2 linked regions of the Caenorhabditis elegans genome follow. The protein of the gene in region 1 purifies or fractionates together with the protein of each later gene. This does not show direct contact. Each region holds a gene or a part of one and is shown on either strand. Other genes may lie near its edges.

Evidence for each region.
Region 2: the proteins of lgl-1 (region 1) and pkc-3 purify together in Caenorhabditis elegans (affinity purification with western blotting, with the first as the bait; 2 studies listed by BioGRID). This does not show direct contact.

What each region holds. Positions count from the first base shown.
Region 1 is NC_003284.9:861,886-874,578, forward strand, and holds lgl-1 (Lethal giant larvae homologue 2 domain-containing protein), read right to left. Parts: upstream 9,205-12,693; 5' UTR 9,114-9,204; coding exon 9,027-9,113; intron 8,776-9,026; coding exon 8,538-8,775; intron 8,184-8,537; coding exon 8,073-8,183; intron 7,726-8,072; coding exon 7,487-7,725; intron 7,441-7,486; coding exon 7,244-7,440; intron 7,099-7,243; coding exon 6,944-7,098; intron 6,893-6,943; coding exon 6,708-6,892; intron 5,831-6,707; coding exon 5,600-5,830; intron 5,552-5,599; coding exon 5,059-5,551; intron 4,880-5,058; coding exon 4,622-4,879; intron 4,471-4,621; coding exon 4,238-4,470; intron 4,034-4,237; coding exon 3,880-4,033; intron 3,828-3,879; coding exon 3,721-3,827; intron 3,596-3,720; exon of another isoform or gene 3,472-3,595; intron 3,330-3,471; coding exon 3,192-3,329; 3' UTR 2,212-3,191; downstream 1-2,211. Other genes in the region: F56F10.2 (F-box domain-containing protein), read left to right, coding at 101-250, 450-546; cdo-1 (Cysteine dioxygenase 1), read right to left, coding at 598-687, 735-838, 944-1,095, 1,147-1,227, 1,544-1,689; Putative serine protease F56F10.1, read left to right, coding at 10,720-10,817, 10,870-10,999, 11,046-11,233, 11,474-11,706, 11,756-11,891, 12,082-12,190, 12,336-12,552, 12,649-12,693.
Region 2 is NC_003280.10:5,376,153-5,387,273, reverse strand, and holds pkc-3 (Protein kinase C-like 3), read right to left. Parts: upstream 7,248-11,121; 5' UTR 7,247-7,247; coding exon 7,181-7,246; intron 6,774-7,180; coding exon 6,515-6,773; intron 6,238-6,514; coding exon 6,153-6,237; intron 6,104-6,152; coding exon 5,977-6,103; intron 5,815-5,976; coding exon 5,638-5,814; intron 4,967-5,637; coding exon 4,715-4,966; intron 4,631-4,714; coding exon 4,272-4,630; intron 4,226-4,271; coding exon 3,883-4,225; intron 3,768-3,882; coding exon 3,642-3,767; 3' UTR 3,105-3,641; downstream 1-3,104. Other genes in the region: ccpp-6 (Cytosolic carboxypeptidase 6), read left to right, coding at 1-38, 122-246, 674-771, 826-1,039, 1,093-1,334, 1,447-1,558, 1,837-1,923, 2,222-2,346 and 2 more; Peroxiredoxin prdx-2, read right to left, coding at 7,781-7,992, 8,057-8,432, 8,834-8,851; algn-2 (Alpha-1,3/1,6-mannosyltransferase ALG2), read right to left, coding at 10,288-10,647, 10,695-10,843, 10,896-11,121.

The sequences.
Region 1 (12,693 bases):
AACTTTGTAATGCACTGAAAACTTTGACCCTGACCAGATTTTTCCACAAAATTCAATATACCAGATTTTTTACGAGATATCAAAATTTATAACTTTGCAGCGCAATTCTAAATGGATCTCCAGTGGAAACCATTGATCTAGGCACATGCTTCCTATCAAGTGAAGCTGTATCCCAAATTGTGCAAAGCTGGGAGCAAACTTCAACCAGCGACTTGACCATCATGTTGAGTCATTGTTATCCGGTCAACAAGTGAGTAAACACTCCATTTTTTTCGGTTTTAATTGTTCTAATGAGTACTTTTCACTTTGCAAGAAGTGTCTTTTGTTTCAATTTTCTTTGAGACTTCCTTGTTTTACGCGGTTTGAAAAAGTTTAAAAAAATACCACCGAAATAATTCATTGCAACAAAATCACACAATTTTTCAAGATCACAGTTATATTTTTTGCAGACCGGATGTGATCCGACTTCTACAGGATCGTAATATCACACTGAAGAAAAATCAACAATTACATTCCAAGAACCATATGCTGACACTTGTCTGTTAATGAAGATTATAATAAAGAATCAACACGTTATTACATTGAGGGATATGTTGTTTAATTGCCATTCTTAGATCCTCTGTAGTCAACTTTCTTGCCGTACTTTGAGTAGAATGTGACGGTGCATTGCGTTTTCTTTCCGGTTCTCTGAAATATATTCAAAAAATATTAAAAGCCTTCGCCGATTGACTAACCTCATCGAATGCATTGCAAGTACTATATGGAGGGATGTACAAGTGAAGAGAGACAGCTCCGTTTGAGTGACTCAAATTTTCCATTCTATGAAGACCAAGCTCATCTGAAAAATTGCAATGAAGTTGTTATTATGTTCCTAGCATTGTTTTCAAGTTTAGGCAACCATGTTGTAAAAGACAGATGCATTAAGTGTTTTCAAATATCTTACCATTCATATAGGAAACTCCATTCATTCCATAAGTCTTATTTTCTGAAATATCAAGTGGCACGTGTCGTTTTCTTGGCCAGGCATATTTGGTCTCAGTGAGCTCTCCATCAAGAATTTTCACAAAGCAATGAGCATCAGTATGATCGTGAACACTAAATTTCGTAAAATGAATGTTATATGATGATAAATCTCAGTTAACGTACCTGCTAGCCATACCGGGGCCCCAACACAAAATCATCAAGTTGTACTTTCCATTTCCAACATCCACTAGGTTTCTTGTGTATCTGTAAAAAAATAGTAAATTTTCGTGAAAAGACTTTTACCAAACTGACTTGAATTTATACTGTTCTAGTTCTATTTTCACCATCCTCTGCTAAATAATTGTTCGAAAAATGTTTTCTAATTTTATGAATTTGGTAAAAATGTTAAGATTTTCAATATTTCTTTTAACAGAACCAAACACCAATATAATACATCACGATCATTCATAATTTCCGAAGAATTCTAAAAATTACGCAGATCTTAAAAGTAGATTAGTCTGTAATCTCATCTTCCCCCAAAAATGCATTTCAATTTTTTCTGGAACAAACCAGCACTCACTTGTTCATATCGAAAATGGCAAATCTTCGCCACTCATTTGCGTTGCTTTTGTATGAAGCCATCAGCTTCATCACTTCGTCAACATCTATCAATTTCTGTTGGAAGATTTCACGAATTTGAACAACTAACTGAACAAATGATATCATTTTTCTGAAAACAGGAATGTTGTCATATTGAATAGTAAATAAAAAAAAAGTTGAAAATAAAATAAATAAACTCCTAAAGAAAATTTACTAACTGAAAAAAAGTAATGAAATAATACGAATCATAATTTCTTAGACGTCTCCAATAGGAATAAACAACTTCTAGTAAACCACCAAAAGCTTGGGGAACAATAATCCTATCAATGTTTCGAATGTTCAGAATAATCGGAAAAAATTGATATGATAGTTACCAAATTTGCAGAACACGGTTTTTTAGGCTCACATGCATAATGATACTCGTTTTGTGAACTGACCAAAAATAGATATTCACTGACCAAAAATAGACATGCACTGACCAAAAATAGATATGCACTGACCAAAAATAGATATGCACTGACCAAAAATGGATATGCACTGACCAAGAAACGTTAAGGACTAACCATCATAAAAATCACTAGGAATCCTGTTAGATAATAAATATAACTGTACACAATACACTTAGACTGACAAGCTCAAAATCTAAAAAACTTTATAATAAAATGTTATCAGTTACAATTACAGTAGTCACACATACAAGTAACGGCGAAATGCGAAGGGGAACACAACGTGACAAAACCAGTCATTTACAATAAGAAATCGCTAATCGACCATCGTTAACAGTTAAGGGAGAAGGAGATACTTTGTGAAAGAAAATATGAAAACGACGACAGATTGAATTAATAGTGACACTTAATGAGTGGAAACAAGAGAAAAAAGATAGAATCGGAAAAAGATCGGCAAAGCATTGCGAAAAATAAACTGTATGTCTATGTCTGCCACGTGAGATTCTGGTTTTTTCTTCTTTTGGAAATAATTTTTTGTTTGTTAGGTTGAACATTTAAACTTTTAGAAGTTCGAAATCCAACTGATCAGATTCAGTATTTATTAGGTGATTAGTGTTATCACAAGTTACCGTTACAAAGGGGCGTGGTTTGGAAATGACGTCATCTGATGTGAAACTGATGGCGTTAGTCGACTAATATCTTATCTTATCAGACAAAACCTTTGCAATTGTCACGTAAGCAAGGCATTTTTGTAGTTTACAGTAATATCGGGACTTCCCGTTCTTGAAGTTTTGAAAATTGGAGATCGATCTGGAAGGGAGTTATGTACAGGCATCTAGTAATTTTGAAGAGGCAACTATTGACAATCTTTAAAGTTTTATTTTTAAAAATTAGATTTGATAGGTATTAAAGAAACACTCTCCTAGAAATTATAGATTCTTCAATTTTTCCAAACGTACAAAAAATACGAATTTTTCCATTTTCTCTAATCGCCTGCAATAGTGTAGCATGTTTCAAAAATTAAAAATCGTTTAAAATTAGTTTTTCATACGCAACGTATATATTGACAAAAAAGGCAAAGACCGAGGGCAAATAAATAACATAATAAAGTTTAAAAAAAACCACCATTTCAAACAAAATTAATATATATCAACAGGAAAACGATTTTTAAAAAAAATGCATCTATGACTTGTGCGTACTGCTCCAACCGCGAAAGTTCAAATTCACCGTACTTCGCTGTAGTTCGGAGGATTTGATGAGGAATGCCACGTCACCATCACGTGATAAACAACTCGAGTTTAGTGCCATTACGTCGATTGGCTGAAAAATTCTAGTTTAGAACGGAGAAAAGCAAAATTAGACATTGTGCAGGAAACTTAACCACTTCTCAGCGCCACCTATGCGTTGACCTTTCAGAATTTTCAGAAGGCAACACGTGCACACTTGGCGCGTGCTAGCGGCTGGCTTAAAAAACAACCAAAAACAAAAAAGAAATCCGTCGAACCGGATTCGAACCAGTGACCTAAGGATACCTGCTGACTCTACAGTCCTCCGCTCTACCAACTGAGCTATCGACGGCACGGAGGTGGACGGAAAAATGTGTCAATAAAAATGTTTGTTGCTTGAAAGACTTTCAATGCGTCTAAGTGGCAGATACGTAGTTACAATCGTATAAAACGGTTCCTGGCGGGACCTTTCTGTCTTTACTCACGTCTATAAACTTCCTCGACTCAAATGAAGAAGCTTTTTGAACAGAATGAACCCGTAGACTTCCATCGTTTGCTACCAAAACCACAAATGATTCGAAATTGTTGGAATCTGAATCTCAATTCATATTAAATGTTTTTTTTTCAAATTCAGGAAATCTCACTCTTTTTATTCAATATCCTAGCCACCATTCCATTTTTGATCTTCAGCCCTTCCAGCGCAGTGATCTTATAACTGTCGCGTTTCACCATCGGCTGACAATTATAGATTCGCAGCTGCTCCTCGGTGATGACGACGATTCGAGTGGATGCGGAGAACTGAAATAACCAAATAAATTGAGTATGAATAATTTCACGGAGTTAACTGGGGATACGCTAATGCCGCGGAGTCGCGCACCGGGAAATTTGAAAAAAAAACACATGGGAGACACGAAAAATTCTAGAATTTTGACTACATTCGCATAAACTAAAAACTGGCAATTTTGCAACTCTTTTTCATTCACACTCCAAATCTCAACTTACATATCCTTCCTCATTTGTGATATCTAGATTAACAACCGGTTGCTTGTGAGGAATCGAGAGTTTCTTAATCTGTTCCGCTTTGAACGTCATTCTTAGTCCAACATCATGTTCGCTGATTGCGTAAAAGTAGACAGAGCCTTCGTGGAGCCCCACAGCTATAATGTCATCTACATTTTTGTCGTCGAGCACCGGAAAGCGCATCATTCGGAGACATGTTACGGTTCCTTTGGAATCTGGAAATATTGAAATTTCAGGGTGAGATAGGAATTGCTTTTGATTTTTATTCAGAAGATTTGAAGATTTTGAAAAGCATGTGACCACGTTTAAGGCTTTTCACCTAATCTATGAGCACTTCAAAAAACCCCGTTTCAGATTTCCACTTACTCTCAGCATAGCAATCCAGCACTCCCAGCTCTTCCCTTGCTTCAATTGGTCTCTCCATGAACACCTCTTCCTCTTCAAAATCGTCAATTCGCTTTGGACTTGTCTCATGCTGCACATGATTTGAAGATGAAGCCACTGCACCTCCTGAATCCATTAATGTTTCAGTGCCCTTCTTTTTTCGTCGGAACGTCTTTCGAAGTGACTTCTTGAGACTTTTGAATCGTTGGAATTGGTTGGCACTGACATTACTTGAATCATCTGAAATGAGCGTAGACTTCGAAGATGCTTTATGTTAAAGGCGGCCGAGCTTCATGGTTTTGAAAACTGGTGGTTTCGATAATTGCTAATTTTCAAAATTGTTAGCAATTTCCAATCATCCCGGGGTCAGACTCCCCAATCTACAAACTTTGTTCTTTCCAAATTATCTGAAAACTCACTGTTGTCATCATTGAATGAATTCGCATAGACAAGATATCCAAAGTTTACATCAAGCATCACAATTCCAAAGTTACTTCCAACTGCCAAGCAGTGATACTTGTGAAGATAGACAATATCGGTGATTCGGTGGCTGGGATGCATTGAGAACACCAACGGTAGATCACTCTCGTTTTTAAGCCGTATTTGATAACCCGCATTGTACTTTAATTCTGCTTTCCTAGGCTTTAGCGCTCGTTTTCTCGTGTCTGGCGGAGAATTATTGCAGCTGATCGGTGTGGCCTCCCAATGTGTGAGAGTTCTCGCAGAATCCCAAAGTTCATACATTAGTACATAGCCACCTCGATTCGTTCCAATCACAATTCCAGATTTCGGATCAAAGTGCACACGGGTGATACACATTTCTTCGTCGTCATCAAACGGATCATAGAGGCCAATTTTGCGCACTGGTTTTTCAGGTTTCTCGTCGCTATTGTAGTAATTTGAATCTTCGTTCTAAAAGTTTACACACAATATTCACTGTTTCCTAAAATAGTTACTTACATCAAAACTAGATGCGCCGTCAAACTCCAATGAAGTGCGGATAACTAGCATCAAGGACATTCCAACTCCACCGGAAGACCATATACAAATATTTCCATTTGAATGACCACTCAAATAAACTTGTCGGTAAGAAGCTCGTTGATGGTTCGCGTCGGTGACTATCTTCTTTTGAAAGTTCAACGGCCAGTCTCTGGTTGACATCTGGTTAGTCTCCCAATAGGATTTGCTGGCCTGAAGAAAACATAATAAATGACTAAAATAACTATAAAAATTTAACAAGGATGCAAAATGTTTTTCAAGTCAAAAAGGTTTGCGCAACGTAAAAATTGTCGAATTTCAAGTTCAGAATTTTCTACAGTAGCAGCAGGTAGTTTTTCATTGTTGTATAGAAGTTTTTTTGTGGAGACATACTGAACAATATTATCACTTTCTGAATATTACTTTAGTCTTAATTGAAAGTTTTGAGAAGGTGCTCAAAAACTGACTCAAAAAGCCAATTTGCCGGTTGGCACAGTTACGCGGCACACTGCGACTCCTAGGCAGTTTTCGAACATTTTCTACATACGTGCATTTGAAGTTAAATTTTTTTAGAAAGTATAAATATTTCTCTATGTTTCTATATAAACTTGCAAATAAAAAATTTAGCACTACCATGACGAATTTTAGCACTACTATGAGAAATTACCCTTTCCAAAAGTTAAAAAAGAAAAACAAAACCTAACCGATTCCAGACGATTCCATACATTTTCCTCAATTTCAATAGCTCTCGAGTGGGTAGTTGGCGTACTATTATTAAAAAGGATTAAAGGATTAAAGGACGATCCGTTCTTCAAGTGCTATGCACTGCGGATCTGGGATTCAGGTACACTGCCTGGTGGTGATCCCTCTGGGCTGTAATTTAAGTCACGTCCTAGCCGGGGACTGTGGCCGATAATCCAGTCGTGGATTGCTCCACTTCCCAATAGAGGCTGGGTGAACCTAGGGGGTGAGGCCGGACTTGAACTCGTGACCTCCAGACTGCTAGCGGCCACCACTACCGACTGAGCTATCTGCCCTACTATGAGAAATTACCCTTTCCAAAAGTTAAAAAAGAAAAACAAAACCTAACCGATTCAAGACGATTCCATACATTTTCCTCAATTTCAATAGCTCTCGAGTGGGTAGTTGGCGTACTATTATTAATCGAAAGAAAATGTTTCGGCTGCATCATATTCAACGACTCCCTTTCCAAATCGATTCCAATGATCTCGCATTTTGTGCATATTAATACCACTCCACTTTTCTTGCAATCTTCTGGAACATATTCAAAATTAGGAAAAAAATAGTTCGAATAATTTTCAGTACCGTAACTACCACTGACACCAACAATCCCTACAATTTCCGATGAGAGCTCCAGTTTTTCAACAAAGTCGCCATGGCTAATTGTGATCAGATCTCTATCGTCGTACTTTCCAGAACTTTTGCCTCCTTGGTAGATGAGGAAGTTCTCGTTAGGATCCCTGAAATGAGGCAAATAATTATAGTAAATCCAAGCAGAGAAACTCCGAGAAGGCGATTTGTATGAAATTGACTTTATGAAAATGAGTTTTTATTTTTATTTTTGAAACAAAACCTTTATTTTGAAAACTTTAAACGAAAACTTACGACGCATCAGCACAAACAGAGAAATGTCGAATTTGATGGCAAGGATAGGGTCCAAATTGATTCGCACTGTAGACATTCACTTCTTGAGCACTTATCTGACAGTCTTTTCCAACTGTAAACTCCCATTTTGTGTATTTATTATTGCAAGAAATGCCAAAAGCTACATTTTTCTTCTTCTCGCTACTCCAGTGAAGTTTCTGTAGAGAACACATTTAAAAAAAGAAAAAAAAAGTTTCAACACACCTGTATAGCTTCATCCTCATAGTTCCGTAGACTGGTCTTCATGACAAACTGTGATTCGTTAAATACGCCAACACAACCGTTTTCCGCAATGAGCATCAAAATTGATGGCTTTTCCGGTAAGCAGGTTATACTGGCGAGCTCTGTGTCGTCAGGCAGCCATTTTTCAAAATCTTCAGCTTTGACGAGAACTTCTGATTTGAGGGTTTTGGATTTGATTCGGTATATTGTGTTATTCATGGCTGTAAAAATTGAAACTTTTTGGACTTACAAGCTATCAAAACCATAAATGCTTTCTGTTTTGCTCACGTCATAATGAAGCTTGATTGAAAATAAATTCCTGTTACGGTAAACCTAGTTTCCAGTTTTTCAATATTTTTTCACACTTATTTCGGAGTCAATTTGATAAAGTTGAAAAGAAAGTTTGGTTTGACTGAAATGCCATATTGCTGTAAATCTTACCATTTTCAATTTTTAATTGTTTTTTTTTCTCTGGGAAGACTTTTACGCTTTAGTTTGAAAATTAATTTGCACAACTATATCAACATCGTGCAATTTTTTTGAAACTAAGTTTCAATGAAAAACTTACAAAAAACTAGGGCAAATGTGTCATCTGATAACTTTTGGACATGCGTTATATCCCATTTTGATTTGTGATTTTCGTTAAATCGCAGTTCCTCCTTTTTTGTTATTACACCATCTGAAAAATATAATTTTTAAAATCTTTTAATTGAATTTACAGCCGATATTTTGCCGAAATTGTTCGGCGAAATTTTGAAAACATGTCGTTTGGTAAGTTTCAGAATTTGCCAGGCTTAACAAATTTGGATAAATGTGACTTAAAAATTTTTTTTTGTAGGACTACTACTACTGACTGAATGCTTGGAACACGTTAGATTTTTTATTAGGTTCTTTCTTTTCTATTAGTAAGTAACTTCATCTACAAATTTTTTAATATGAAATCAAATTTTTTTTTGTAAATTTGTAGCATGTGCGGCAAATTTTAAGAACTGCCATACATTCCTATTTTAGTATAATTTTAAAACGAAATAACCTTTGATATGAATTGGGATAATCAGCTGTCCATCACAAAGAACCAATGCAATGTTTGAGGATATGAAGAAAATGTGCTCGATTCTCGCTTTATTCTCACTGTCCTTGCTCAAGCTAACTGTCCATGAAGCTCCTCGGTAGCCGTAAAATGTGACTTCTCCGTTTTTAGATCCAATTACAACACATCCGTTGTGGTAGTCAAATGCTACGACGTCAGAAGTGAATCCACCGCGGTTTCCCTAAAATAAATAATTTTGAACTGATGAGCGGGGAATAAATTAGAAAATATTTCGAATTTGGCAATTATTGTTCAGTTGAAATTTGACAAGTTTTCGTTCCCAGTATAACTTTTTTAAAAATTTTTCTGATTATGTGCTATTCTACAGCATTCTTAAAATAAATTTTCTGGATGACCTAATGCAAATTAAAAGAACATTTAAACGTTTCAAAATATTTCAAATACATGTTCAACCAAAATCTAAACACATACCTCATCGAAAACCGCATATTGTTCTATGGCATGCTCCTCGGGTTCGTGATAAAACTTGGACCGGATAAATCGTAAGATGCTGCTCATATTAACCCAAATTCGAGGTGTCTAAACCGAAAAAAGTCACATAGAACCGTATAAGTGAACACGGAAAAAGGAAAGGAATAGACCCAAAGCGAGAGAGTAGGACGGGGAGAAGAGAAAGAGAGAAGCGAGAAAAGATCAGGTGAACTGAAGAGACGCCGAGTCGGAACGCACCCCTTGTTGTTTGCGCACAATTGTGGTGGGGTTGAGAGGGAAAAGAGAGGTGGGGGTGACTCAGTCATTTGAATGAATGTTGCTAAATGAACCGCACCAGTGACCGCTGGGTGGTCGATAGGTAATAGGGTGCCCTAGCAGGTGTTGCGAAATGCGCGAAGGGTGTAAACGTGTTGGACACGAACAGATTGCAAGTAATTCAAGGTTATCGTACCTATTGACCCAGATAGCTGCTGCTGCTACTGCACTGACCAAACTTAGAATTAACCAAACCTAATGTACATGGCAAATTAACAAGCAAACATAACTTTTGTTTACTTTTGAAGCGTTTTTAAGTTATACACAATGACTCAATTAAATTGAACTTGCCTGCTAAACATAAAGGCAAGGTCCTGATATTTGGGAAATAAGTGGCAAAATTAGAAAAAAAATTGAAGTGAACAAAATATAAAAACTGGGATCAATATTTATAGAAAAAAAACAGTTAATGAAAAACAATGAATATTTTAACTCCTGGGGAATGCGGAAATTAAAAAATGGGCGGCAGAAGGATTTTATGAGCTATAAAACATTTTTGGGGATCTCAGTGGTAGGAGAATTTATTATTATCATGAATATTCAATAGATATTACAGTGTCATTTTATTAGCAGGAGCGGAATTTGTATTTTCTCATAAACATCACCATATAATTTCTGACTTTGCTAAAAAAAATAGCACGCACTGACCCAAATAATTTTGGCACTGGCATAGATAAGTTTGGCACTGACCAAATGAACCTTCGCACTAATCAAATAATGATCGACACTGGTTTATACATGTAATTTTAATTAGGCGGTATTTACTGACCAATCATGAATTTGCCTAAAAAAAAGTTCGCAATTTAGGGCTTTCACGTAGGTGACGAAACGCCTGCAGCGCCCGTTTCACAACAACCGCATGCCTCGCGCCGCGAGCCGTGCTTCCTGTGTAGTGTGGCGCGGAACCCAAGAAGTGTCGGCCGCGGCGGAAGAACCACCGTTCGCACTAAGTGGAATGAGCATCAAGCCTTTGACTTCATGTAATTATGCAGAAATGAGGCAAAAGCTTGGCAGGTTGGAGGCCTGAAACCGCGCCTGCCTTCCATGGAACCGCACTTATGACGGAATGTTCGGCAAAAACTGAAACATGCACGGATCGGAGTGAATAACTGGAACCAACTTTCAGATTACCTTTTTGTTCATAAATGTCTCGTTTTCCAATTTCTTACTTTTCTCAACAATTCCTTCTTACAAGATGATGACTTTAGAAAGACTGAAAACGAATCTGCGACTAGTCAAACAGAAATAATTGATAACGATAGTGATTTTGTAATCATTCCCGCTTGATAAACTGTGCATTTTTCACTTTTTGGCAAAAGTATAGGTGTATATCATTCTTAAACTTTTTTATTTAGGAATGTTGCGGAATTTATTGCTTTTACTACTACCTTTACTGATTGAAGCAAAATTACCTCCATTTTTCTTGGGAAGACTAAATGGGAAAACATTGTTGAAGTAAGTAGATTTTTTGATGAAAATTTAATTTAATCTCTTTTTTGAATTCTAGTCACCATTTGGACCGGTTAACAGCGTCTGATGGGGCAAGCATTCAAGAGACTTACCCAAATTTGCAAGTTCATAATTTCACCCAGAAGCTGGATCATTTTGATCCATACAACACGAAAACATGGAATCAGGTAATTAATTCAAAGAATAGTTTTTTCAAACTGCCTTAATTTACAGAAATATTTTTACAATCCAGTATTCTCTAGAAACAACTCAATCATTTTCTTAATGATTGGAGGAGAAGGCCCAGAGAATGGAAAATGGGCAGCAAACCCAAATGTTCAGTACCTACAATGGGCTAAAGAGTTCGGAGCCGATGTTTTTGATTTGGAGCACAGATTCTTTGGAGACAGTTGGCCAATTCCGTATGTGCAGCATTTTTTTAACGAGAAGTTTTTAAGTTCAGTCTCTGAATAAAAATGAGTATGTAAGGTTTGGAAAATTGCCTAAAATCTTTCGCGCAACTTGTTAATTAAAGTGTGTTTATTTCACAAAAAAATAGCATTTATTTCTCAAAAAAATAGCAGATATGTGAAGTAAGTATCAGGGAAATGGAATATTTTTCTACATTTAAAAAATTAAAGAACAATTGTGCTCTTTTTCAGAGACATGCAAACGAGTTCTCTCCGTTATTTAACCACTCAACAAGCCCTCGCCGATTTGGCATTTTTCATAGAGTTCATGAATCAACAATACGGGTTCAAGAATCCAAGATGGGTCACATTTGGTGGTAGTTATCCAGGCTCCCTTGCAGCATGGTTCAGGCAAAAATACCCGCAATTAACAGTGGGTTCAGTTGCTAGCAGTGCTCCTGTCAATTTGAAACTTGATTTCTATGGTAATCTACATAGATTTTTAGTACTTGTAAATTATATATAGTGTTCCAGAGTACGCAATGGTTGTTGAAGACGATTTGAGAATAACCGATCCAAAATGTGCTCAGGCTACTAAAGATGCATTTGTTCAAATGCAAAAACTGGCGTTGACAGCTGAAGGAAGAAACTCATTGAATAATCATTTTAAGTATGTTAATTAAAAAAAAAGCTTTCAAAACAGTTTTTAAAAAACTGGTGCTCAACTAATAGCTCAATTTTTGAAATGGGATCTTTAGGTTTTCTATGTGATTGTGGAAGCTCTGGAGATACAAAATTAGTCAAGTTTGACTTTTCTTTAAAAAATAACAAAATTAAAAAAAAATGCATCCAATTTTCAGTCTTCAACCTCCATTCGATGCAAACACAACAAAACTCGATATCAATAACTTCTTTGGCAATATTTTCAACACTTATCAAGGAATGACTCAGTACACTTATGATGGACAGGTAAGACAATTTTCGTTTTGATCTACCTTACCAAACCATACCTAACTGATTTAACAATACATTCCAGCTTATTGAATAGATCAATAGTATAATTTATCAACAGCTTACAACCATAATTAACCCAACTCTAACTATACACTTTCAGAGCAACAGCACACATTCTGATAAGACCGTCCGCAAAATGTGCGACATTATGACTAATGCCACTGAAACAGATGTGGTGATGAGAGTGGAAAACTTGTTCCTGTGGTTCAACCAAATGGAGCCCGCAAGCGCAAATCTCACTGTCATGCCGAACAGTTATTGGGATGTGATCAGTCAAGTGGGAAGCGGAGATTTGAACGTTTTGGGACCAGATGGAGGTATTACATTTTTCGATAGTATATAAATCAAAAAGGGGGAGCTTAGCATAACGTTGAAACTTCTAGATTATTTCAAAATAAAGTCAAAAATTTAAGCTGCCGCTCGTGGATGGATGTGGTTGTGTTGTAACGAGATTGGAT
Region 2 (11,121 bases), on another chromosome or scaffold:
TCAGGGAAATTTGGTTTTTGAAGCAAGTTTTGAATCTGGTTAGTTTTAAATTCAATTATAGACAAACAAGGAAGTAATTATATTATTATTTTTTGAATATTTAAAAAGTTTAAATTTTAAGGAAATTTGGGACGAGTCGACAAAGTTTCCTGTTCAGAATATGATTTATTCATTCGACCTGACACTTTGAATAATAAATATAGAGTTTGGTTCTATTTTGAATGCAAAAATGCATCTGAAAATCAGGTAAATGTTTGAAGAATTTGTATTTATTATTGATATTCGAAAACTGGATCTGAGGCGGAAACGTCGGGTCTCGCAGCGATTTTTAAAAAAATTCAATACCCTACGGGTTACTGTAGGTTTTCAGTTTTTTTCTGCAATGGCCATGGTTCTGAAATATTTACGAATTTTCCAGTATACCTAAATATGTTCTTTATTTTCGGGGAGAACATTTTGAGACAACTTTTTTCCTAGCTACAGTACTCTATTTTCCGCGCTAAAAGGTGTGTGCCTTTAAGAATACAGTAACCCATTCCTCGTTTTGAAAGTTACCGGCGGTTACTGTATTGATTGAAGGCGCACACCTTTTTGACTGGGTACTATTTGAAAATTAGTGTAATTATGCAGTTTAAACTTTAAAATTTTATTATCAAATTTGCAAATTCTTCAGCGGGCGATCTTCAATATTGTGAACTTTTCAAAACAAAGAACACTATTCGAAATGGGAATTGCAGCACCTGTAGTCAAATCAAATGCTCAAAATAGTTGGTATGATGAAAACCCCTCGATTTTCTATTTTAAAGAGCCATTTCAACATTTTAGGGCTCGAATCCCATCTCGCCATATCTACTACTACCGTAGTTCCCAACACAATGATCGTTGGATTCTTTCATTTGCTTTCATATTTGAATCACCAGATCCTGTTCAATTTGCATACTGTATACCGTATACTTATGGACAAATGCAGATATGGTTGAATGAGTTGGAATCCAGAAAATACCCATTTTTTCATAGAGATCTTTTGGTTCAAACTGTGGTAAATTGGAAATATTCATGGAATAGTCTGAAACTTTTTGGAAAATAATTCAGCAAAAACGTCGTGTCGACTTGATAACAATTGATGCAACACCTGACACATTCCAAGGATCCAAGAAAATGATTTTTCTAACTGCGCGAGTTCATCCTGGAGAGTCACCGAGTAGTCATGTTATGCATGGAATTATTGAATTTCTTGTTTCCAAAGATGATCGAGCACAGAAGTTGAGAAAAGTTTATTGTTTCAAAATTATTCCAATGCTTAATCCAGATGGCGTTTTTCTCGGAAATTATAGGTAACTTTTTGCAAACAGCCTAGGTAGGCATTCCTCGTCACCAACAACCTCTCGGCCCAGGCATAAAGGCGTACCTACCTACAGTGCCTACCTTATCAGAAGGTCATTTCAGATGTTCTCTAATGGGTCATGACTTGAATAGAATGTGGAGAACCCCTTCAGATTGGGCTCATCCTTCAATTTATGCTGTGAAGAATTTACTGACGCAATATGATAATAATCCGGTGAGAGCTGTTAAATTTATCGATATTGGGAATTTATCGATATACATATTCAGTGTTTTGTAGGACTTTTGAGCATTTTCATCAATTTTTTTTTGCAATTCCCATGATACATTCAAGTTGACTGTATCTCGAAGCGATCAAAATCCTAGATTACTGTAGACTATGGTTAAATTGAAACATTGTGGGAAAGTTGCCATGCTCACTGTTATGTGTCAATTTTAGGAATAAATGAATCAATAATTTGTAGAAGTTTTAGGATCTGTTCTTGAATATTTCAGCAAGCCCAAACTGTAATCTACGTTGATCTACATGCCCATTCTCAGAAGCCAAATTGTTTTTTGTATGGAAATGTGAATATGTCAGCTGTAAGTTGTGAATTTTTTTGTGAATTGGTTCGGGCAACTTCAAGAATCAGTTATGAGTTACTGTATTTCTTGAAGGGGTACAGCAACTATTGAAAATATTTTGTCCGTGGCGAGACCCGATATTAGCCGATTGAAGAACTTAGCGATTTTAAACAAAGTACCCGGTCTTGATACTACCGAAACTTAGCAGTTATCTACAGCATTTCACAATTTTAAACCCTAATCTTTTCATAGTTTCGCTCAACTTTGCAATGACCACAAAATTTAAATTTTCTGAAACATTTTTTTCTAATTTTCGGTCGAAGAAAAATCGACTTTCCGGCAGTTATGGCTTCCGCATTTGCTGGCAGATCTTTCCGAAGATTATTCGCTCGAGTTCACTCAATTCAACACGGATGTGGAGAAGGCTGGTACTGGCAGAAGGTGAGATTTTTTATATGGAAGGGAACGAATAATTTATTATGGATTTCGAATAGTCGTGATTTTAATTTGATGGGTCTTGCCACGATATGAATTTTGCAATAGCTAGTAATTTCTCACATGGTCATCCGTAGTATCTGCGTGCAAAAACACGACTGTGGGTCCTGGCGTGAGTGAACATTTCCAGCAACAGTACCTTTTACTTTCAATCTCTATTTTGCAACATTTTCTCAATATTTTGTGTGGTTTTATAATGATGTTTCTAGAAAATATATGCATATTTTCAAAATGAATACATTGGGAAACACGGAGTTGAGAAAAACACGCTGGGTTACTGTAGCAGAAAAATGCCAGTCGTGTCAGGACCCTTCATAACTTTTCAGAACGATGGGAGATCTACTTTCCTGCCTTTGCTATACACTTGAAGTATCATTCTTCTCTTATCGCCATACAGACTCTTCTGGAAATGGAATACAACATTGTACGCCATATCTTCAATATAAATGTAGGTTTTTTTTCAGTGATTTCCTACTGTAACTTGGTTCAATTTTCAGATGAAGCTCTCGGCGAGGCATTTTGCAGAGCACTTCTCAACTTCTATGAAGCCGACTGTGGACTACGAGAGATTGTGCTCGAACGTCCCTTTAAGACTTTTCTACCCGCCCGCGCCCAGAAAACTTTGAAAAAGCAAGCGAGGAAGGTGATTCAGACTGTGATGATGAAATGAATTGGCGCCCACATTAGAACTGATAAAGACCATTGAAATGCAATTTTTTTTTGTTTGTCAATAAATAAGTAAGGGAAGTGGTCAAATGGAAGAACATGTAAATTGAATTGAAGTTAAATCGAGTTCCACACGTGGCACAAAAGAAGTGTCAGATGGCGAAGAGACTACATTGATCGTAGTCTTCGCCGCAATTTTACATATATTTCAGGGAAATGAATGAGCTGACAAGAAAAGTAACAAGAAGGTGTATTTAGAAGGGGAGGTCATCAAGCATTAGGTATTCCTAGCAAGTATGAATAGTCTAGATTTTAACAGAAACCAAAAAAAATCACAACCTTTTCGGGATTGTAAGATACCACAAGACGAGTAGAAGTGATTGTTGCGAGAAAATGTATAACAGATGTTGAGAAAAAGAAAATAAGTTAGGATACTGATTATGCCACGAGTTAGTGTGTCATAGTATCGTATAAGACAGTGGGCGAAGGAGATGGGATTCGAGAATAATAATAAAAATCACAAAAAAGTATACCGAAGAAAATAAATATTTGGGACTCGGGGGATGGTGGGGGAATCAGACTGAATCTTCCCGACTCATTTGTAGAGGATTCACGTATTCAAATCCATCAAATTCTGATTGATCAATTCGTGCAATAACATCTGGATTGTCAGGTGATAATTGTGGAAGTTCGTCGGTGAACTGAAAAAAAAAACAAGCATTTTGAATTAGTTTTAAAATATTTTGATTCAATAATTTATTAGTAAACAAAAACTAATTTTTTTTTAAAGTTAAGTTCTGAAGAAATTAAAATTACCTGATGATCAAAGTGTGTCAAATCGCGATCACTTTCCACAGCTGGATGATATGGAGGTGCGACAGCCTTCTGTTCCAAAGCTTCCCAATCAATGAATCCACGGAAGAATTGATGTTCTTTCATATCACGAAGACCTTCATTAATGTCAAGCTTACATCCCAGACGTTCTGTTGGATCCTTGTTCAGGAATCCCTTTAGAATACCAGAAGCCCGTACAGAAAGTGATCTAGGGATTCGAATCTGTCGTTCAAGAATGATTTGGAAAAGATAATCTTCTGTATTTTCCTCGGAATTCTGCATTCCAACAATATCGAATGGAGATCGACCAGCCATCATTTCAAACCTAAAACGATTTAAATAAAATAAATGTTCAACCAAAAAAGGCTTACATTAACACTCCCAATGCCCACCAATCAACACTGAATCCATATTCATCACCTCTCAATATTTCTGGTGCAATATAATTGGGTGTTCCACAGAAAGTTGAAGTTAAATCTCCATCCTTAATATTCTCTTTACACATTCCATAATCTGTCAGTTTTATGTGTCCTTCAGCGTCAATCAGAACATTGTCCAATTTGAGATCACGATAAATGATTCCGCGAGAATGAAGGAAATGAAGAGCAAGAATTATTTCACCCGAATAGAATCGAGCGTGCTCTTCTGGAAGCTTCCGTTGCTGTTGCATGTGGAACATCAGATCACCTCCAGGAACGAATTCGATGACAAAGAACAGGCGGGATTCGGTCTGAAATTATCAAAATTTTGGTTTAAAATTTTTAATGCGAAAATTTGAGATTTGAAAAAATCGAAGAAAAAGAAAGTTACCAACCTGGAAGCAAGAATGTAATCCAACAAGGAATGGATAATTTGACGCTGCTTCGAATACTGACTTCTCCGTCTGTACCCAATCGATATCTTCATCTTCATTGAACATCTCCTTTTTGATAATTTTTATCGCGTAAATTTGACGAGTTGAAACATGTTCTGCTTGCACAACTTTTGCATAAGATCCACGTCCAATAACTGTTAAAAGACGGAAATCGTTCAGAGAAACTGCCCATTTTGACGACCCATTTCCATTCTGAAATATTAAAAAATTTTAGTATTTGAATCTATGTAACTTTAAAAATACTTTTCGCCGTTTCTTTTTATCTGATACTGGGAAGCACTGACAGAAAAGTGCCATACGTTGAAATATTAAAATATTTTGATATCAGGAAGAAATCAGAATTCGCAGCGAGGAAGGGAATTGTGGTTGGAAATGAATAAAAATTTTGAGAGCAAGAGAAAGAGTGAAACTACAAAAACTTGTTCATCCAAAAAAAAACAAAAAAATGTAGTTGAGTCTAGAAATCTAGAATGTTTTTCAAGAGTTACATATATCACGTATCTAGAAATTTGAAATTGAAATTGCAACAGGAAGAACCTAATATTTAATTGAACTTTGGATTAAACTTAATTAAATATTTCAATTAACTACCACTATTTCAAAGACTTTCCAATTTAAATTGTTTTTTTTAACAAGAGTTATTTCATTTTCAGCTATTGTAAATCTGAGACTTTTCAGATGGTTTTATTTAAATAAAAGTTATGTTTTTTTGGAAATAAACTAATAAATTTCAAAAAAAATTAACTTTTCTGAATATTAAATTAAATTTATTACGATCCCTCGGAGACGTGAAGACAAAGATATTTATATCAAATTTCAAATATATTTTATTTCAAATTTTGGCTCCAACTTCAAAAGCTTACCATAGCTCTGCTAGCATCATGACTCGTGGATCCGGGTGATTCGATTTCGTGCTCGTGGAATGCTCCGTTATCAATTCCTCCACCCGACCGCGTTGTAGATGAGCTTGTATTCGATCGAGCACCCTTTAGAGAACCACTTGCAGGAGCCATTGGGATAATATTCGGGCCTTGGAGAGCCTGAAAATGATTTAGATTTTTATGAGGAATTTAAAAATTTAAGCTTTAAACCTGTTTTGCACAGAAATTTGTAAAAATTGAAAAACAGAAGTCTGGGAGGTCTTAGTTTCAAAATTTTGGAATAATTTAGAAGCTATCCTCGCTACAAAAAAAAAGAATTACCTGACCACAATGCGTTCGCACATGCCGATGGCATTTTTTGTGCACGCATAAACGACAATCCACACATCGAAAGCCTTGCCGTCCAATTCCCCATATGTAGTCATGACAAATAAAGCATTGAATACGGCTGAAAAGAAAGAAGCTCCGGAGGCTGTAAATCAGAAAAAAAAACCTACCGATTCAGCCGTTTCGCTTGGAATCGATGCCCATTGTACAGATAAATTTTCTTCCATCGTCGAGCACCTCTTCGATATACAGTTTCTGGAAAAAAAACATTTCTCAGACTCGAAAATTTCCGATTTTTCCTCCGACAAATTTCTTGTTAAACGCGAGAAATTGTGTGCCTTTAAAGATTACTGTAGTTTCAAACTGCGGAAGTTTGATCTATTTTCCAAAATTCCAAAATTTATGTGTTTCTAATTGTTTCATTTCAATCTTTTTATAAAAATTGATAGAAATTCCGCTTTACAGTATTCTTTGAAGGCGCACATTTTTTCGAAATTCTAAATAATTTTTCTGATAGCTTCATGATACTTACTGTCTTCTCCTTGACACGGAAGCCCGGGCAGCTCTGGTTTTCCAACAAAAACGTGAATGTTCAACTCGGCTTCTTGACTAGAATTCAAACATCGAACTGCTTCATCAAGTTCCATTTGTGAGTCTATTGAGATTGGATCTCCATCTTCATCAATCCATTTTACAGTAATATCTTGTTTTTTGTGTTGTTTACAAGCATCTTTCAAAAGTGCAAAAAAGTCATCGAGAATGAGCGGTGGTCGAGCATAGAGTACTACTACCTGGAATTTAATTTTTATTAAAATTTGGGAGTCTGGAATTTTTCAGATTAAAAAAAAAAAGTTATACAGTAACAAAAATTATTTTTCAATTTTGCAGAATTTTTAAAAAATCAGTGGTTGTTTTTTTTTAATTTTAGCCGGAAAAGAGCTTTTTAAGTTTTAAACACTATTAATCAAATCATTAAAAGTTCAGAAAAATTAATTTTTTACAGTTTTATTCGGTTATCACGGTCTTTTTCTATTTTTTGTCTGGAATTTTCTCTCTGTTACGAATTTTTAAAGCTTTGACAAACTAAAATTTCGCATTGACGGCGAAATGATTTACACATTCTCACTGCAACGAAAAATTCATTTTTAGGGTATTTCTCGATTTTTGAGCATTTCAAAAGCCACTTTTCATATCTCACCTGTCCTTGAAACCTCGTTTTTAGCTTAATATCTCCGTCCTCCTCTAATGATGTCGGAGACGACATTCTGAAATAAAAATTGAACTAAAAACGGTTCAAAAAAAGGAGTTCTGAACGAAAACTGCGAAACTGAAACAGTGACGAGTTGGCAGTATTAGAGTAAAAAAGGGAAAAATGACTCATGAATAAACATGCACATACACACACACACACTGTTATAGCTATATATGCATTGACGCTCTATCGAACACCCCCATTTTGTCCAAGTGTACAGGTCAGTGAGAGCGGCCCAGCTTTGAAGAGGCATAGAGAAATGAATAATCACAGGTGACCCTCACAAACACTGTACAGGACGACGATGCGCGCGCACCGACTAACACGGGCGGTCTAGGAAAGTGACAAAAAAGTAACAGAGAGAGAGTCTCGACACATATTGTTTGTTCCTGAACAGAAACAGTTATATTCGAATACCGAGTTTATTTTACGGTTATCAAGCAATTTCATGAATTTCAGAATTTCAGTATCAAAATGAAAAATGAGTATAAATAAACCGTTCAGATAAATACTAGGGATACGGGGGAAATTAGAGATGTAAGACATTTAGTGCTTCTTGAAGTACTCTTGGCTTTCTTTGACTCCTGGCTTGATGGTGTCGGATCCTGGAGTCCATCCAGCTGGGCAAACCTCTCCGTGCTTCTCGACGAACTGGAAGGCCTGAACAAGACGAAGAGTCTCATCAACAGAGCGTCCGACTGGAAGATCATTGATGGTGATTTGACGGAGGTTTTGTGATGGGTCGATGATGAAGAGTCCTGAAATTTTATTTTTCAAATAAAGTACGAAAATATGAAGGATTCCATTCAGAATATAACTCACCACGGAAAGCAATTCCTTCGTCCTCCTTGAGAACTCCGTAATCACGGGAGATTTGGTGGTTGGTGTCAGCGAGAACTGGAATGTTCATCTCTCCGAGTCCTCCGTGCTTGCGTGGCTGGTTGATCCATGCCAAGTGAGAGAAGACAGAGTCGGTGGAAGCGGCGAGCACAACGGTGTTGATAGCCTTGAACTCCTCAGCACGGTCAGAGAAGGCGATAATCTCGGTTGGGCACACGAAAGTGAAGTCAAGTGGGTAGAAGAAGAGCACAACGTATTTTCCCTTGTAGTCAGAGAGCGAAACATCAACGAACTCGCCATCAACGACGGCTTGAGTCTTGAATTGTGGAGCTGGCTTTCCGATGAATGCTTTCGACATCTAAAAATTAATTAGTTTAACAAAAAAAAATAATACCGCGATAAAATAACAACCACAATCACAAGAACAACAATACGACAAAAAATGAAAAGGATATTGAAACCCAACGGCAACGAATTTGTTTGCAATGTGAAAAGAAGGAGAATAAGGTGACGGGCGGTGCTTATCTAATGGGAATGAAATACATTGGCAAAATTGGAGAGCGACGAAAGAAAAAAAATCGGAGGACGAAATGAGAACTAATAAAACATTCTGGGAACATCTTTGAAAAACCAAATTAATTGTTATAAAAGTGAGTGATCATGTTAAATAACAGAAATCGAGGGGTTTAAACTTTTCCGTGATTTAAATTAATATCTAAGTAACCAAATATATTTTTAAAAAACAAATAAGAAATGCACCTTTGGAGCGAGAGACATGATTTCACACTGCAATTTTTAATAAACATTTCTTTGCATCTTCCAAGAAACGAAATAAGGTCAGTCTTTTTATAACATTGCCACAAACTTTCATCATCATGTGACGCGATTTTTGCTGACAATTGTCGCGGCAGGGAGTAACAGACTACAACGTTTAGGAGGAGCGAAAATCTTAGGGTTCAAGGTCACTTTTAAAGAAAATTCAAATATTATTACCTGTCTATACATCTTGGCGCAGAGTTTTAGAATTTCAGCTGGTCGAGCAGGTCTTAGAATTCGAATTCACTATTTATCTTAAATTTAGCTGATCGATTCTATCTCTCATTTGGCTAGCGTATTCTTCCCCGGTTGCTATGGCTTCCTAGCAAGCTTTCATAAAAGTCGAAAATAACCTGAACTCGCAGACAAGATTGCAAAAAAATGTGGAGTATTTCAACGGGCGCCGCTAGGCGCAGATCAATAAATATGAAGGTGGTCAGACGAGAGAGCGGAAAAAAACGAGGCGCCACGAAGTAAACAAGTGAAACTACGCGAATGCGAGAAAATCTGCGAAAAAACTAACCGGTTGGAGATGTTGCGTCGAAAATCCTAAAAAGGGAATAATTCTGGAAGCGAGTTTTGGCGGTTGCGACAAAAAGTAGGTCAAAAAGTGCTTTTAGTTTTAAAATTGAAAAATGAGAGGTCTGGATGGAAGGAAACACGAGACTTTCATGTTTATTCGAGCGCTTTAGGCAAAATTGAAAAAAAAAGTTTGCGGGAAAAATAAAAAAATGTTCAGGTCCGCAATTTGACTTTGCGGTGAACCGCGTATTTTGAAAACTACCGTAGTTGGACAGTTGGTCTCGTCGCGACAATTTTTCTTAAGTACAAACGAGTGTGTGCCTTTCAGGAGTACTGCGAGATTTATCGATTTTTCAAAGTTTTTCGTTTGAAAACAGTATTTATCTAAAAAACTAAAATAAAACAATTAAAAGACGTTAATTTCAATAAATCGCGATAGAACCCATAAAATCTGTCAAATTTGTAGTGATTTTTCTACGATTTGTTCAAATTTATGTGTTTTCATTGTTATAACTTAGTTTTTAACTGAATTTATTTTTATCGAAAAAGTAAACGAAAAACGCCAAATATAACAATTAAAACCCATAAATTTCAATAAATTGTAAAATGTTGAAACTATGAAAAATAAAAATAAAATAAAATTCCACAGCAACAAAAAAATTACCGCAACATTCTAAATATATATGGTCAGATATTCAACATTCCGGTGTGGATATATAAGATAACAACTGAGAATATAATGTGTTCGGTCATAAAATATAATTTATTGAACCTTTCAAAATAAATAATTTAAAGCACATAGGACTATCACAAAAAATACACTGGCGATTCTAAAACGAAACGCTTAAAACCCAAATTTCAAGAAAAAACATTAATTAAAGCGTAGATTGAATAATCTCGTCGAGCTTTCTTGCAAATGCTTCAAATGCAAACACTTTTTGCACCCATTTCGGACCTTCCTCACTCATTCTTCGATACATTTCCTCATCTTTCATCAAATCAATCATTTTCTCAGCAAACGCTTCGGCCGTTTGATCAACCAAAAATCCCGTCTCATTATTCCGAACCGATTCACAGGGACCTCCAGTGTTAACAGCAATTACTGGGGTTCCCAAGTACATTGCTTCAACTGGAACAATTCCGAAATGTTCTCTATCAGGCGTGTAAAGTACCGCACGACTTCTCCGAATGAGATTTACTTTTTGAGTGTCAGATGGTGAGTGGAGAAATACGATCTGAAATTTAAAAGTAATTTATACTTTGCTAAATTCGTATTTATTACCTGATCAGCTGGGAGCTCCAGTTTCTTCATATGTTCAACAAGTTCATCATAGTGTTCGATGTTTTCTGGGTTTTTCAAATCATATCCGCCAGCAATAACAAGATGACATTGCGAAAATTCGTCGGCAGGAAGATTCGATTTCAATTTCTCTGCAAAATAATTTATTACACAGGTTTTTAAAAATATAAAATCTAAAGTTACCGAATGCGTCTAGAGCCAAAACGATATTCTTCTTTCGTTCAAATCGGTTCAGTGAGGTGAAAACATATTTGGTACCACGTGGAATTTCTTCACCAAAATCATCCGAAGCTTCAATCGAATCGAAAAACTCGGTGTTCAACGAAGGATAGAGTACGGTCAGCTCCTGAGATGCCAGTGACTTGAATGTTTCACGAACCACATTTTTTGTAAAATTACTATTGACACA